Linked DNA regions of Arabidopsis thaliana. The protein of the gene in region 2 interacts with the protein of the main gene of each other region in a pairwise test. Each region holds a gene or a part of one and is shown on either strand. Other genes may lie near its edges.

Evidence for each region.
Region 1: the proteins of AT3G13990 (region 2) and AT1G13730 interact in a two-hybrid assay, tested with the Arabidopsis thaliana proteins (one large-scale study listed by BioGRID).

What each region holds. Positions count from the first base shown.
Region 1 is NC_003070.9:4,708,053-4,713,213, reverse strand, and holds AT1G13730 (Nuclear transport factor 2 (NTF2) family protein with RNA binding (RRM-RBD-RNP motifs) domain-containing protein), read right to left. Parts: upstream 3,458-5,161; 5' UTR 3,129-3,457; intron 2,998-3,128; exon of another isoform or gene 2,808-2,997; intron 2,702-2,807; 5' UTR 2,696-2,701; coding exon 2,516-2,695; intron 2,414-2,515; coding exon 1,931-2,413; intron 1,847-1,930; coding exon 1,690-1,846; intron 1,597-1,689; coding exon 1,475-1,596; intron 1,389-1,474; coding exon 1,323-1,388; intron 1,237-1,322; coding exon 1,176-1,236; intron 1,100-1,175; coding exon 882-1,099; 3' UTR 542-881; downstream 1-541.
Region 2 is NC_003074.8:4,624,798-4,632,451, forward strand, and holds AT3G13990 (dentin sialophosphoprotein, putative (DUF1296)), read right to left. Parts: upstream 5,817-7,654; 5' UTR 5,587-5,816; coding exon 5,409-5,586; intron 5,040-5,408; coding exon 4,996-5,039; intron 4,622-4,995; coding exon 4,450-4,621; intron 4,111-4,449; coding exon 3,978-4,110; intron 3,572-3,977; coding exon 3,045-3,571; intron 2,844-3,044; coding exon 2,504-2,843; intron 2,407-2,503; coding exon 2,145-2,406; intron 2,065-2,144; coding exon 1,969-2,064; intron 1,803-1,968; coding exon 1,341-1,802; intron 1,244-1,340; coding exon 911-1,243; 3' UTR 586-910; downstream 1-585. Other genes in the region: ATBRXL2 (DZC (Disease resistance/zinc finger/chromosome condensation-like region) domain containing protein), read right to left, coding at 6,373-6,451, 6,535-6,926, 7,024-7,159.

The DNA.
Region 1 (5,161 bases), on a different chromosome or scaffold from region 2:
CAACGTCACTCACGTGGGTTAGACCAAAGGACCCACGAAGCAAGCAAGTTGCTTGTGAAAAAGTGAAGGGAGAATAAAAACACTTCCATGTAAAAGTAATTGAATACTACTACTACACAAAGGCAATCATCAATAAACCATAGTATATAAACTAAAAGACTTAACAATGATAATATAAAGTAATTAACAAGGTAAAGTTTGATTATTGGCGACTAATCGTTTGATGGAGAAGAGTTTAGATTAGCATAATGAGCAATATAACTTAGTGAAAAAGTCTGATTATTATTGATTCAGTGACAGTTAGGTTTGAGAATGAAATCTATAAATCGAAAAGAAGATTTTTAGAATCCTTGGTGGGTCACTTTGTTGAGTCAAGTGGGGACGTCAAGATCTTTACACCATAAAAACCAAAAATGCTACGTGTTCGTCACCTGTTGGTTTGTGTAATAATGCAAACTTAGAGAATACTACAATACGTCGTCGTTTGAAGACCAACACCATTCACATCAAGCCCATAAGTTTAAGGGTTCGTTGCCCATTTGTTTTTTTCACTAGAAAATATTTTATTCGGTTTGGTCCTAAAAGATGTCTCAATCAATTGACAACGAACTTCCGATTAATTTTGGTTATGTGTAAACCGGACCAAATGAAGATGATTCAGAATGGAAGGTAAAAGTAATCATCAAATTTTTGTTATCCCAAACAAAATCTCAAAGAAGGGATTATCACCTAAGAGATAAACCTACTCCAAAAGAACTTCTAATCTCTCTCTCTCCCTCTCACTATCTCTTCCTATAAAACCTCAATTTCAAATGAACAACAATAACACAACAGAGTTTAACAAATGACTTCAAACTTGTTTAGCCTCTGGATTGAGTATTTTAACGGCTAGCTTCTACCGTACCGTTCTGATGAACTTTGCCATCACCATTGTGAGCCTCACCATTGCGTGATTCACCCCGTCTCTCAGATCCATTTCTTCCATAGCCTCGACCTCCATTGGAACCGTTGCCTCGAGGCCTATACCCATCGTTTCTGTAACCGTTGTCGTTCCTATAACCTCCGTTTCGCATTGCGGGTCTTCCATTATCGTTGTTGCCTGCAACGGAACCAATGGTTTCAGTTTTTCTACCCTGAAGTTGGAGACATTAGTACTAAACTTTACTTTGACTTACCTCGTTTCTCTTCTATTGAAACTCTTCGGTTTCCGATTCTGATGGCTGATTCTTTGTGAGCCTAGAGTTGTGTAGTAGAACATCAAAAGAAGAATCCAGTTTATAACCAAAAAGTTTGTAAGAAATATCGTTGATGTTGAAACATACCTGGAGGACCAATTTCACAGCTTCAGCAGATGCGAATGTCACAAAGCCAAAACAGTTTCCCTTGAGCTGCAAAAGAAAAACTTAATGAGGATTTCAAAAAAATTGGCTGTGAAACAAGTTTCTTCAAAAGATCCATTCAATAAACAACTCACCCTGTAACTTCTCACTTGGATACCATCTTTCGTAATAGCTCCAAAACCTTTGAATGTTTCATTTAGTTGCTCTGGTGTAGCGTCCATGAGCAAGTTGGCAACAAATATCGTATAACCCTCAGCTGATACACGAAAAATGGTAAAATCATATTAAGACATAGAAAAAGGTGAAAGAAAATCAGTTTTTCTGAAATGTTAAAACATTGATTTAAAACCTTGTTGGTCGATTGTTGCAGCAGAAGAGTGTTCAGAAACAGGAGCAGGAGCTTTGGATTCACGAGCAGCACTCGGCTTTGTAACAGGCTTAGACTTAGGCTTTGCAGGAGAAGCTTTGGCATTGAATGTAGCACCGTTTTGAGCCAAATCTTGGACCTAAGGGTAAGTTGCAAAATATTTAGATTATATGAGCAAAGATTAGGCTATAGAATAGGATTTCACACAAAAAAGAGGACTCACAATATGTGCAAATGATTTCTTGGGAGCATCAACACCATTGCTTTTATCGTTCACAACATTATCCTCCTGTGTTTTGGGATGTCCATTTGCTACAGCTCTTTCTGGTTTCTTCACTGTATTTTCGGTTGTCTGTTTCGCCTCGGGTTGTTGGGTAGGGATAGTAACCGGCTCTGCAACTTCATCTACCTGCTCTGTTGGTTGGACCACTTGAGGAATAACCTCCTCGACTTCTTTCTTGTTAGCTTCTGGTTCAACAATCTCATCAGCAACATACCTAAAGACATCGTTGAGAACGAAATAGCTTCCATTCAGCGGCACAAGGAAAAACGATTGAGAAAATCTCATTCTTTGCCCCTCTTTCACGGTTAGTAAACCTGTGACTAGAGTCACAACTCCATTCATGTAAGATGCTTGGGAATCAGCAGTCAAAATCTGAATCTTTGAGATTTCGTAATCGAAGGACATAATCTGCTCATTGATAGCCTGCAAAACAAGATTAAACAACTCTTAAAAACGAAACTTTGCTTCCAATAACAAGATTTACATATGTTTGAACACAAAAAGCAACTCCATCCAATAGCTTACTTTCAAGGATTTGACAGAAACCATCTCTCCATCAGAACCAGGACGGCCTAAAACACTATCGTCGAGATAAAACTGATGCACTTGCGATGGTGACTTATACAAGAGGTTGTAGTATTTCTCAACAAAAGAATTGCCAATAGTGTTTGGGTCCACCACTGGAGCATTTGATTCAAGTGCCATCTCTACCTAGATTCAAGAGATTATCACTAAGGTCAGATATATAATCAAACAAATGTCTCGAAATTAAAACATACTCATATGGATGAACCACAAGTAGTGATTTTAGTCTCACATTGCCATTCAAATCAACACTAAGGAATCCACAAATCTCATTAGATCTCTTATAGCTTTAACAAGAGATTTATTTGGTGACTTAAGCGACTTGCAAGTTGAGAATCTATAAATTGAATATACGTTAGAACTACATAGATCTCTATACAGCTACTAGATATTGGAAGAATGTGAAAAGATTAAGCTTTTACAGAGGATTCCAACAGAAAGGAAAAGACTTTTAAGACAGAACATGAAACCCAAATTGAAGAACTACAAATATCAATCAAACAATTGATAACAGTAAGAAAATTGGTGTATGAACTATGAACGAAAGCGATACCTTGGGAGAAGATGAGAAGAGAAGCAGAATCAAAAATCTCAGATCAGTTCGAAGAGAAGACAGAGTAAGACACAGGGAGAGGGAGGGATGAATATATTTGTATTATAATATATATAATGGTTAGTTCTAGGGTTTTACTTAGAAATCTCCGACGAGGAGAAATTGGGATTGTTGTAGCCTTGTATTGTAGGGCTTTCTTCAAGATTTTTACACTAAAATTATACTACTATTATTATTTATGGTAAGGAGGGAAGTTTTCCTTGAATTGTTTGTTTTTGATGATTATGTATATTGTTGAGTTATGGAAAGTTGTGGCTAAGAAGAATTGTATTCTAATTTCATAAAAAAGAAAGAGATATAAAAAAGAGTGAGTAAAAGAAGCCCCCGGCGAGGATCGAACTCGCGGCCTTTCGCTTACGAAGCGAACGCAATACCACTATGCTACGGAGGCCTTTTTGGAATGCTTGTTCAGTATAACATTATATAATAAAACAACAAATTATGACTTTTTATTTAAGGCTCATTGCAATAAAATATATACTTCATAAGACTCAAACTTGTGTATATTATTTAATCGTGAATTTGAGATCAAAATTTGTTATAGAATGATTTGTTTTGAAATAAAACAGATTAAGCCCCACAAAAAACATATTTTCTTCCTACGAAGCTTGATGTGCTGATTTAAGAGTTCCCCTATTATCGGCCCAATAAAGAACTAGTGGATATGCATGGTTCGAGGAACCCATGAATCGTTTTTTTTTTTTTTTAAATGTCTGCTTGCCCTCTGAGCCACCAAATACACAACTAAGCATAGATAACAAATTTGCTTACAAAAATCTTTAATTAAGAAGTTAGAGTGTATTATTTTATAAAAATGGAGCCAAAGCAATTAAGGTGAGATAAGTTTGAACAGTACATACTTCTACCATATATCAAGAAATGTTTCACGAAACTTTTCTGAGTATAATTTTATCTCTAAGATAAAGCTATATGATTATAAATCAAAATGTTAAGTTGAAAAATGTTTGAACAACGTATACGAAGTTGTATTATTTTGGTTTATTTTAATGTTATAGTCTAGATTTTTATTTCCTTAAATTTGTGTCTCCTTTTTATTTCTTGAAAATGTATGCTCATGCATGTTTTTGATTACTTGGAAAATGTAATTATATGTAAAGTCTTTTTTAACCTCACAGTTAATGGAAAGCATCAACCTTTGGATATAAAATATAAAAAAAGAAATTCTATGAAACAAAAAAAATATCATCAATCGACACATGCATGTGCATATATTTATAGATATTTTTTTTTTCGGTGCATATATTTATAGATCCATATCAATCTTGAGGGAAAAAAAAGATCCATATCCAAATCCAAATGGAATATCAGTGTGCAATTTTCGTTAGGAAAATATTTGATTTAATAAAAAAAGAAATTCCCAATCCATATCCTTAGCCATATACCAAACAAGGGGAAGAGTTGATGACAAGAGAATGAGATCACTCTAGTTATGTTTGAACCGAACTAGAAGTCTTTTTGCTAGTTGAGAGTGTAACTACATGAAGTCTAGTTGTTGAGACATTGACATGATTGGTCTCTCAATTTCCACTTCCTTTCTTATTTGTTCAAACATATCTATTCTTATGCTTTACTGTAAAAAATCTATTATAGACCTACAAACAAAACAGTTGTCTATAGTGAAAATACTCCTGATGTTATGTCTTTTTCAATAAAAAAAAATATATATATAACATGCTCTTTTAACTAAGTCTGTCAGAGTTCAGAGTTCCCAAAAGTCATAAATGTAGTTCTTTACATAAGTATTTAATTATTGGTCAAAGTCTATCAACTACTTCTATTAGTTTCAAAAACTTTATCAACTTTTTTTATTAGTTAAAATACACATAAATTAAATGTTTATTATTATTAATGCAATATTTCCTATTATAAATATCTAAAATGATAAAGATAAATCTAAGAAAACTAAAATATGATAATATATAATTTGAAATTATGTCTATTTATATTTGAAT
Region 2 (7,654 bases):
CGGTCAAAATGGGACAAATTAATAGAGTATTAGTGACTCAACATCATGGAGTCTCAAGAGATTCGTAGAGAGTAATCATTTCTCAATAAGGTAGGACTTAGGAGGCCTATTAAATCAGAGAAGGAATCAAAGTCCGTACCAATTAGGCTCTAAGTAAACTCTAGTTGGCTCCTTGATTAAGACCCACCTCCCCAAACTAAGTATATTTACTTTTCTAAATATGTCAACAAAACGATCAATTAGATTCTTTTGTTATGATGACACAGTGTGCTATGACACCTAAAAACTAAAGTAATCAAGGAGATAATCAAAACCTATAGGCCTGAGCTTCAACTAGTTCTCCGATTAAGAATATTTGTAATCTATTCTAAAGGCTAGAGGAAAGTTAGGTCAAGCTCAACAACTAATGATTCTCTATCAAGAATTTAATAAGGAATATGAGGAAATGGAGAGAGAAGACACATAACTCAAAGAAGAACATTGAACAGCTAAACAAAACACACAATTCTCTTTAATACTTGTAGAACATTGACAATGGGAAACACTAGCACCAAGCAACAATGTTTCACTCACAGGGTTCCACACTTAAAAACCTTCACATGCATTGTAGGGTTCTTGAAGTCGACCGAAACTATAATAGCAGTAAATGATTAAGAAGCACGGACAGGACTTTACCTTGACAATTTGACGCCATGGGAGAATAACACCATACCTGCAGCTGTAAATAATGAGGGGCTATGGAAGCAGACAAAGCATTTATAGACAAATTGTTGAGAGCTGGGAACATTTTATGCATTGAATAAATAAAGATTAATTAAAACAGAGTTTGGCGTTTCATAAGGAGAATCAAAATATTTGCTTTTGGCTATTATATAATCCATTAGACAAGAAGACAAAGGTTAGATTTTCTTCAGAAGTTTGATGGCCAATTCGGATGACCAAGTTGTGATTGCTGATAGGTACCAATTTGAGACGGAGGAGGAGAGGGAACGACACCGACTCCAACATTACCACTGAGGCCAGGTCCCATGTGGTGCGGATTCGCCATCGTACCAGGCTGTGACGGGTGGAAGAGACCCTGGAACTGCATGTGAGATGATTGCGCAGTTGGGTTGAACGATTGGTGTGCTGTATGGGATGATAAATAAGCACCATGAGGCGATTGTCCAGCTACGTTGTAATATGGAGACTGAAGGCTTGAAAGATCTCTTGGATTTTGCATCCATATCTCAGAAGTCTCAGCCTGTAGTGTTAGATAAGGAGACATGAATCAGAATAAAAAATAATTGGTAAAAACATAAAGTTCGGGCACAACTACCATACTTATCAATTATCATTACCTGAGGATTTGGAACGTAAATATTTCCATGTTTATTTATCATGCGAGATGGATCTTCAAGTCCCGTAGCGTTTCCAACTACATTGGGAGGATTAGTTGGATACCCATTAGGATTGTTGTAAGTCCCAAAACCCGCAGGTCCACCAGTTGGAACTGGTTTATATTGCTGATGGATTCCATACTTGACACCATTTGAACCGAGATGAGAACCGCCTCCAGGCATCAGCACATAGCTATTGCCATTTGAAGGGTGTGCATATGCTGCTGGGTTACCTGAGTAGCCTGGCATGGGCATTTGGGGAACATAGACTGGGGAAAGGAATTGACGATAAGGCATGAGATTGGGAAAATGCGAAACATGGACCTGCGGATACATCTGTTGCATTGATGCCTGCTGTTGTTGCTGTAACATGGGAATAGTGGATGGTGGGGCATTATTTAACATGTGAGCACTTAATCCCTGCTGCATTATCAAAAGGATACTTGATCAGTTTTTCCTAGTTAATAAAACAAAAAAGATAACTATGACACATGCACAAACCAACTGCTCAAACAGGAGCTAACTAGACTCTTACGCATCAACTCATGCTGGCAAACTAGTAACAACTAACAACAGAAACATAAATTACCTCGTGTGGAGATGGTAATCCTTGAACTCGTACAGTTTCATCCATTGCAGGACTAAAGTACGGAAATTCATAACTACCATGATTGTCATAAGCCTGCTGGAAAGGAAGAGCATGTCATTTTTGAATGAATTTATCTTTCCTTGATTTTTAAGAGTTAAAATTGCAAGAACCCTTACAGAAAATTTTTGCAACTCCGGAGGATCTTGCTGCTGTTCAAACTCCAAAGGAGTATAAGGTGGACCATTCCTATTGAGTAATTCAATCCCCGAGTACGCATCCAAATTGTCAGATCTATGAGTTTCTTTCTGTTCGGGTAACTGTGGCTCAGATACTGCCGAGACGGGTGAGTCAGATCTAGAAACTCTGACATGATCATCAATAGTGATAGGCAGAACGCCCGGACCATCTGCTGAAGCCTCAGGACAAGTAACTGGCGAACTGTCAACAATATCACCAAGTTAATTGGGGAAGATGCATGTGATCTCAAACTATATTCAAATGTACAAAAAAAAACCCACCAACTGTCAGAACTTACCTACGATCAGATTCTCTAACTTCTTCTGAAGAGTGTGATTCTTCGAAAGCAGATTCTGAATTCCTTGAGGAATTAAACTCTTGAACAAAGCTACCAAAAGTTAGCTGACAGCGGTCAGTCTCCGGGACACGAATATGATCTGCGATGATGACATTCTGACTTTCACTTATATGAACATGTGAAAGCTTATTCTGCAACTTGACGGCTTCTGTTTCCACATTTATGGAATTATCAGCAGGACGACGAGCTTGAGACTTTGTAGGTGTTCCAATTACTCCAGGGTTATGTCCAACAGGTTTCTGATTAGATTTAGGCTTCCACTCCTTGTTCTGTGAGGCTCCTGCAATAAGTACAGGTTGATCAAGAATATCAGAAGTCATGACAGGAAATGGCTTCTCACCAGGAATTCCCAATAGATTGAAAGAAGGGATTATATTACTCAAAGCAGAAGCTACACAGAAAATAAAGTGTCGCCTAGCAGAAATCAAATAAGAAATTGCACAACATCCATTCGGTTAATAAATATTTGCATATAAGTTACCCTTTGTATGGCCACCAACTTGTTGTGTTCTAGCATATTGGCTTCCTCTATTCCCACGCTGTCTGTTCAAATATGACCTATTCTTTTCCACTCCACTGGGCATAACAGACTCACGTGCAGTAGTTCGACTGTGATCAATCTTTGAAGTTGGGGAAGATGGTCGATGTGCATTTGGAGGTCCATTTTTTCTAATAGAGGACCCTGAAAAAGAGGGCACAGATGGATCTTTACCAACATTTTCAGAAGGTTTTCCACCTAAACCTCCACCCCTTACTTCACGTTTAATAGCTCCCACGGGTGATGATCTAGAAACAGGAGAAGGTACATGAACTGGATCTTTGGAAGACGAATATACACCAAGAACTGAATTGGTTGATGGCAAAGTAACTCCACCGAGTTCTTTATTGACAGGACAATGCAAAGGACGAATTTCAGCCTGTCTGAGCCTGGCATCTGCTGGAGCATTACACTCGTCAGTTGAATCTTGAGCCCCAGAAGAGTTACGATTGCCCAAACCACCTCTTGAGCTGGCAAACAGTTAAAATAGAGCGAAAATTTTATTTTCTTATTTAAATTCAGCATAGTTTTCTTGAAATTATGAGACAAGAAGTCCTTGTTGGGCTAGCAAAGGAATGCCTACCAAGTGAACATACACACTCCTATCTCCGTCTACCAAAACCCAATGGCAGTATGGCACAAAACTAATCTATGCTTCTTATTGTCTTAAAGAGTTCATTGACAAAAAAAAAAAAAAAAAAAAAGAGTCCTACTTTACTATTTTTTGGAAAAGTACAGCTAAAGCAAATTAACTCCCTTAAAATATTTTTACAAGAGTAACAAATCATTCTATTTCACATGTATAAAAGAAGGCAAGTTAGTGATAAAAATGCTAGAATAAGAACAATAGGATAAATTACAACTGATGATACATACCCCAATTTGTTCACAGTGGCAACCACTTTGTTAATATTTGATCCAGAGGACTGGGCAGAAGAATGCTTCAACTCTTCATCAACATTTGGATTAGACCTGTTGTCCCTAACAACGCGAAACTCTTTGTTGGATCCTGCACTAACATGAAACGAACAAATTACAAACAGACAGAAAAACATTTCTAGGTGAATATGGTCAATACATTACATAAAACTTGAAGGCCTCACGCCAATGGCCAATAACAAAGATTAAAAAAAAAAAACAAATCAACGCAAAACAATTTCTTCTACGTTTCCTTTGCTTGCCTGCATATATTTTTCTGGATTTAACCAAGTTCATTTGATACTGCCGTTATATAGATTATGTTTACGAACCATTCAAAAGACAGCTTAAAACAAATTAAAGATTTTTAGTACAACTGTACAAGCATGCGAAAGAAACTGGCAAGTATATCATCATCAAATTGATTTACCAGTAGCAGGATTTCTAGGAGATGCATTTCGTTGAGCAGCGTTCCTGGGGAAGAAATTCCTACTGTAGCCTCCTCTCCGAACATTATGTTCAGGCTGTGTACGAACTTTCACTTCACTGGTAACATTTTCAAGAGGTTTCTTTATGTTGGCAGGCTCAACAAATACTGTATCCTGAAACCAAAGGAACGCCCTAAAAATCAGAGGTTATACAAGAGGTGTCTTGATGATCTCTACAAATTCATCAAACTATTTGAATGGCTAGAAAAGTTGAAATTTTTTTTGACGATCAATTAAATTAGAAGGCACACAAAATACTAAACAAAACAAAAAAAAAATATAGCTTGCCACAGCAGACATCCGATGAGATATAATAGTCACACAAGCACAACTAACATTATGAAAAATCTAGTCACCTTCTTCAAATGCAGTTTCGAAAAGACTAAGGAGAGTCAAACAAAAAAACTACAATGTGGTTGCATTGGCAAAAATGTTAAAAAGGAGAAGAACTGGGAACAAGATACCATAACAGTTATATGTAACCTCACCTCTTTTTTCCTGTCTCTTTTTCTCTTCACCTCGTGAAATGGATCTGAACAAAACAAAAGCTTTTTAGCGAACCAAAACTATGATGGCAACAATAACACACATATTAGTCACCCAACGAAACGAGAGCCAAGAAAAGAAGACCAATAATATTTCAAGTATATAGTAATTGAAGTATTCTGAAGAGAATTGACAAATTATCGAAATGAAAACAAGAGTTATCCATCTATCGAATTATCAACAGAACTCCATCAAACGAAATTTGCATAACCTATCTACAGCATTCTACATACGCCTCAAACAAGATGTTGTAGCATTCATCGTGATCAAGATAATGCGGACCAGAGAACAAACAGTAAAACCCTAACTTCCGTCAAACTAGGAAAGCAGAAAAAGAGATGAAGAGAGAAGAAACCTTGATGAATCAGCTTCTCCACAGCCTCGTTAGCATCCATGTTAGCTTCTTTTAAGGCAGTGTAAATATCAGCATCGGAGTGACTATCCACAACTTCCTTAATCGATTGAATCATCTTTTTCGCTTCATCATCGAGTCCTACCCCACGATTACCGCTAGTTCTGGACCCAGTCACCATTACGGATCAAAGACGTATCGAATAAACCGAAACACACAAAAAACAAAGAAATTCAAGGATCGAGTAGCGAAACCAAGTGAGATCAGCGTAATCAAGGTAGATGCTAATGATTCGACTCTTAAACCCTAAAATCGGATAGAGCAACTACTAGGGTTTCGAGTACAGAGAAGAGGGAACGGCTTTAAGAGAACAAAAAAAAAAAAGAAGTTAGGATTTATTCTCACGCGTCGAAAAAATTGGTTCCAAATTCACTAATTGGATAAACCTAATTGACTATTTTACCCTTAATATAACTCAATAGAAAGATTAGTCAAAGGAGAAGTGAGAAATGGAAATTTCTAAGGAGATACAAGTTAGCTGGCAATTTAACTGGTTTTTACTTTATACATTTCTTATTCAGAACATTTAAGTACATGCCATAATTATTAGCACCAATCATGGTCAATATAATTAGAGAAAAAGTAATAAAGTGCACAAAGTGTAATTTTCAAATCCAATAATATGAATTTTCTTAGTATTAAACTATATACAGTACATTACCTTAAGAAAATAACACCAAGAAAATCCAGTAAAACTAATACCTCCTCTTTATAGATAGATGTAGATGAGAAAGAAGAGAAAGAGATGTACTAACAACCACCAACTAAAAAGCACATTCATTATCTGAATCCCAAGTTATTTCCATCACTCTGTAGCTTTTTTCCAAGTAAAACATATAAAAGAAAAGTGTTTTGTTTTGGTGTGTGTCAGATTCTTCTCTAGAGAGCCTTCGACCGTCATCGGTCATCACAAGTATTGTTGTTGTATCCGAGCTCTGTTCTGCTCCCACCACAATCTTGCATTCGTTTCCCCAAACTTCTCTCGGCTACAACCACAAAGACAATGTTGTTAAAGTGCTTGCTTTTGAAAGGGTTTTACTAAGGAACAGAGAAAGTAATGTATCTTTACCTGAAGCGAACACGCCTAAGCTCGCGAGTCCCATCTGGTAAAGCTCTGATTGTGATGTAAACACCTGCTTCGTCCTGTTCCACCCATTCTGTTTCAATGTCACTTGCATTACTTACAGATAGCTCCTCCCCTGAATGATCTGCTTCTTCTTCTTCCCTTGAGAAGCTACTTCTTGCAGACTCATCAACAGATGATGTCTCGGTTTTTGTCCCACTTATGCTAGAGAGTTTTGGTGTTGTAGCAAGACCAGATGAATCATGGTGTCGACTTTGTGTTTGGGTTGTTGGTTGGTGAGCGAGTGAGCCAGAAGAAGCGTAGCCTTTTCCTCGAGAGCATTCTTTGTTCAGAGGTGGAGTTGCAGGACCATTCTTGGTAGACTGAATTCGCGAGCTCTGGTATACCAAATTAAAACTAGTTAGACCTCAAAGTATCAAAGACAGGTTTTGATGAGTAGATTCATGTGTTCAGAAGTGAAGAGGGTGCATATACCCCATCTTCAGATCTAGGAGGAGTTGGAAGTGGGACGCTCTGCTGATTGAACTGCTGTACATTGTATAATTCCATGACCTTGTCGAAATTCTCCGCCCACCACTTTTGAGCTTGCCATTTATCGAACATTTCACGGCTGCAAGTAATACAAATTTGAAGAAATCAACAAATTAGGAGCTGACTTAACCATATACAATACAGAACCAAAGAGCTACCAGGTTAACAGTCTTAGGTTCACAAAACTCAAGGGATCTGCAGTAAATTGTCAAAACTAGAATCTAGAAATATCAATCCTAGGGAGCTGAAGTGTTCCTCTTGCCATGAAGAAAGTTAGTTAGATCATCTTGCTCTCATTATATGTTCCACATACAAAAAGAACTTTACGAAATTCACAAACACTTCCCCACACAATTGTCCTTGGGGAATTCATTTAAGTTCTCCATCGGATTCAACTACCGAAATATAACCCACATCTCAAAGACCTTTCTTGGCAAAAAGGATGTACAAGTTCTCATAATTATAAGAAATGGTTTGGGACCACTTCAATCGATTCAAGAAAAATGAAAGCAGCAACAGTTTCCAACACAGAAATCTCACATAATAATATCCTAAATATCAACTGTACTCTCAC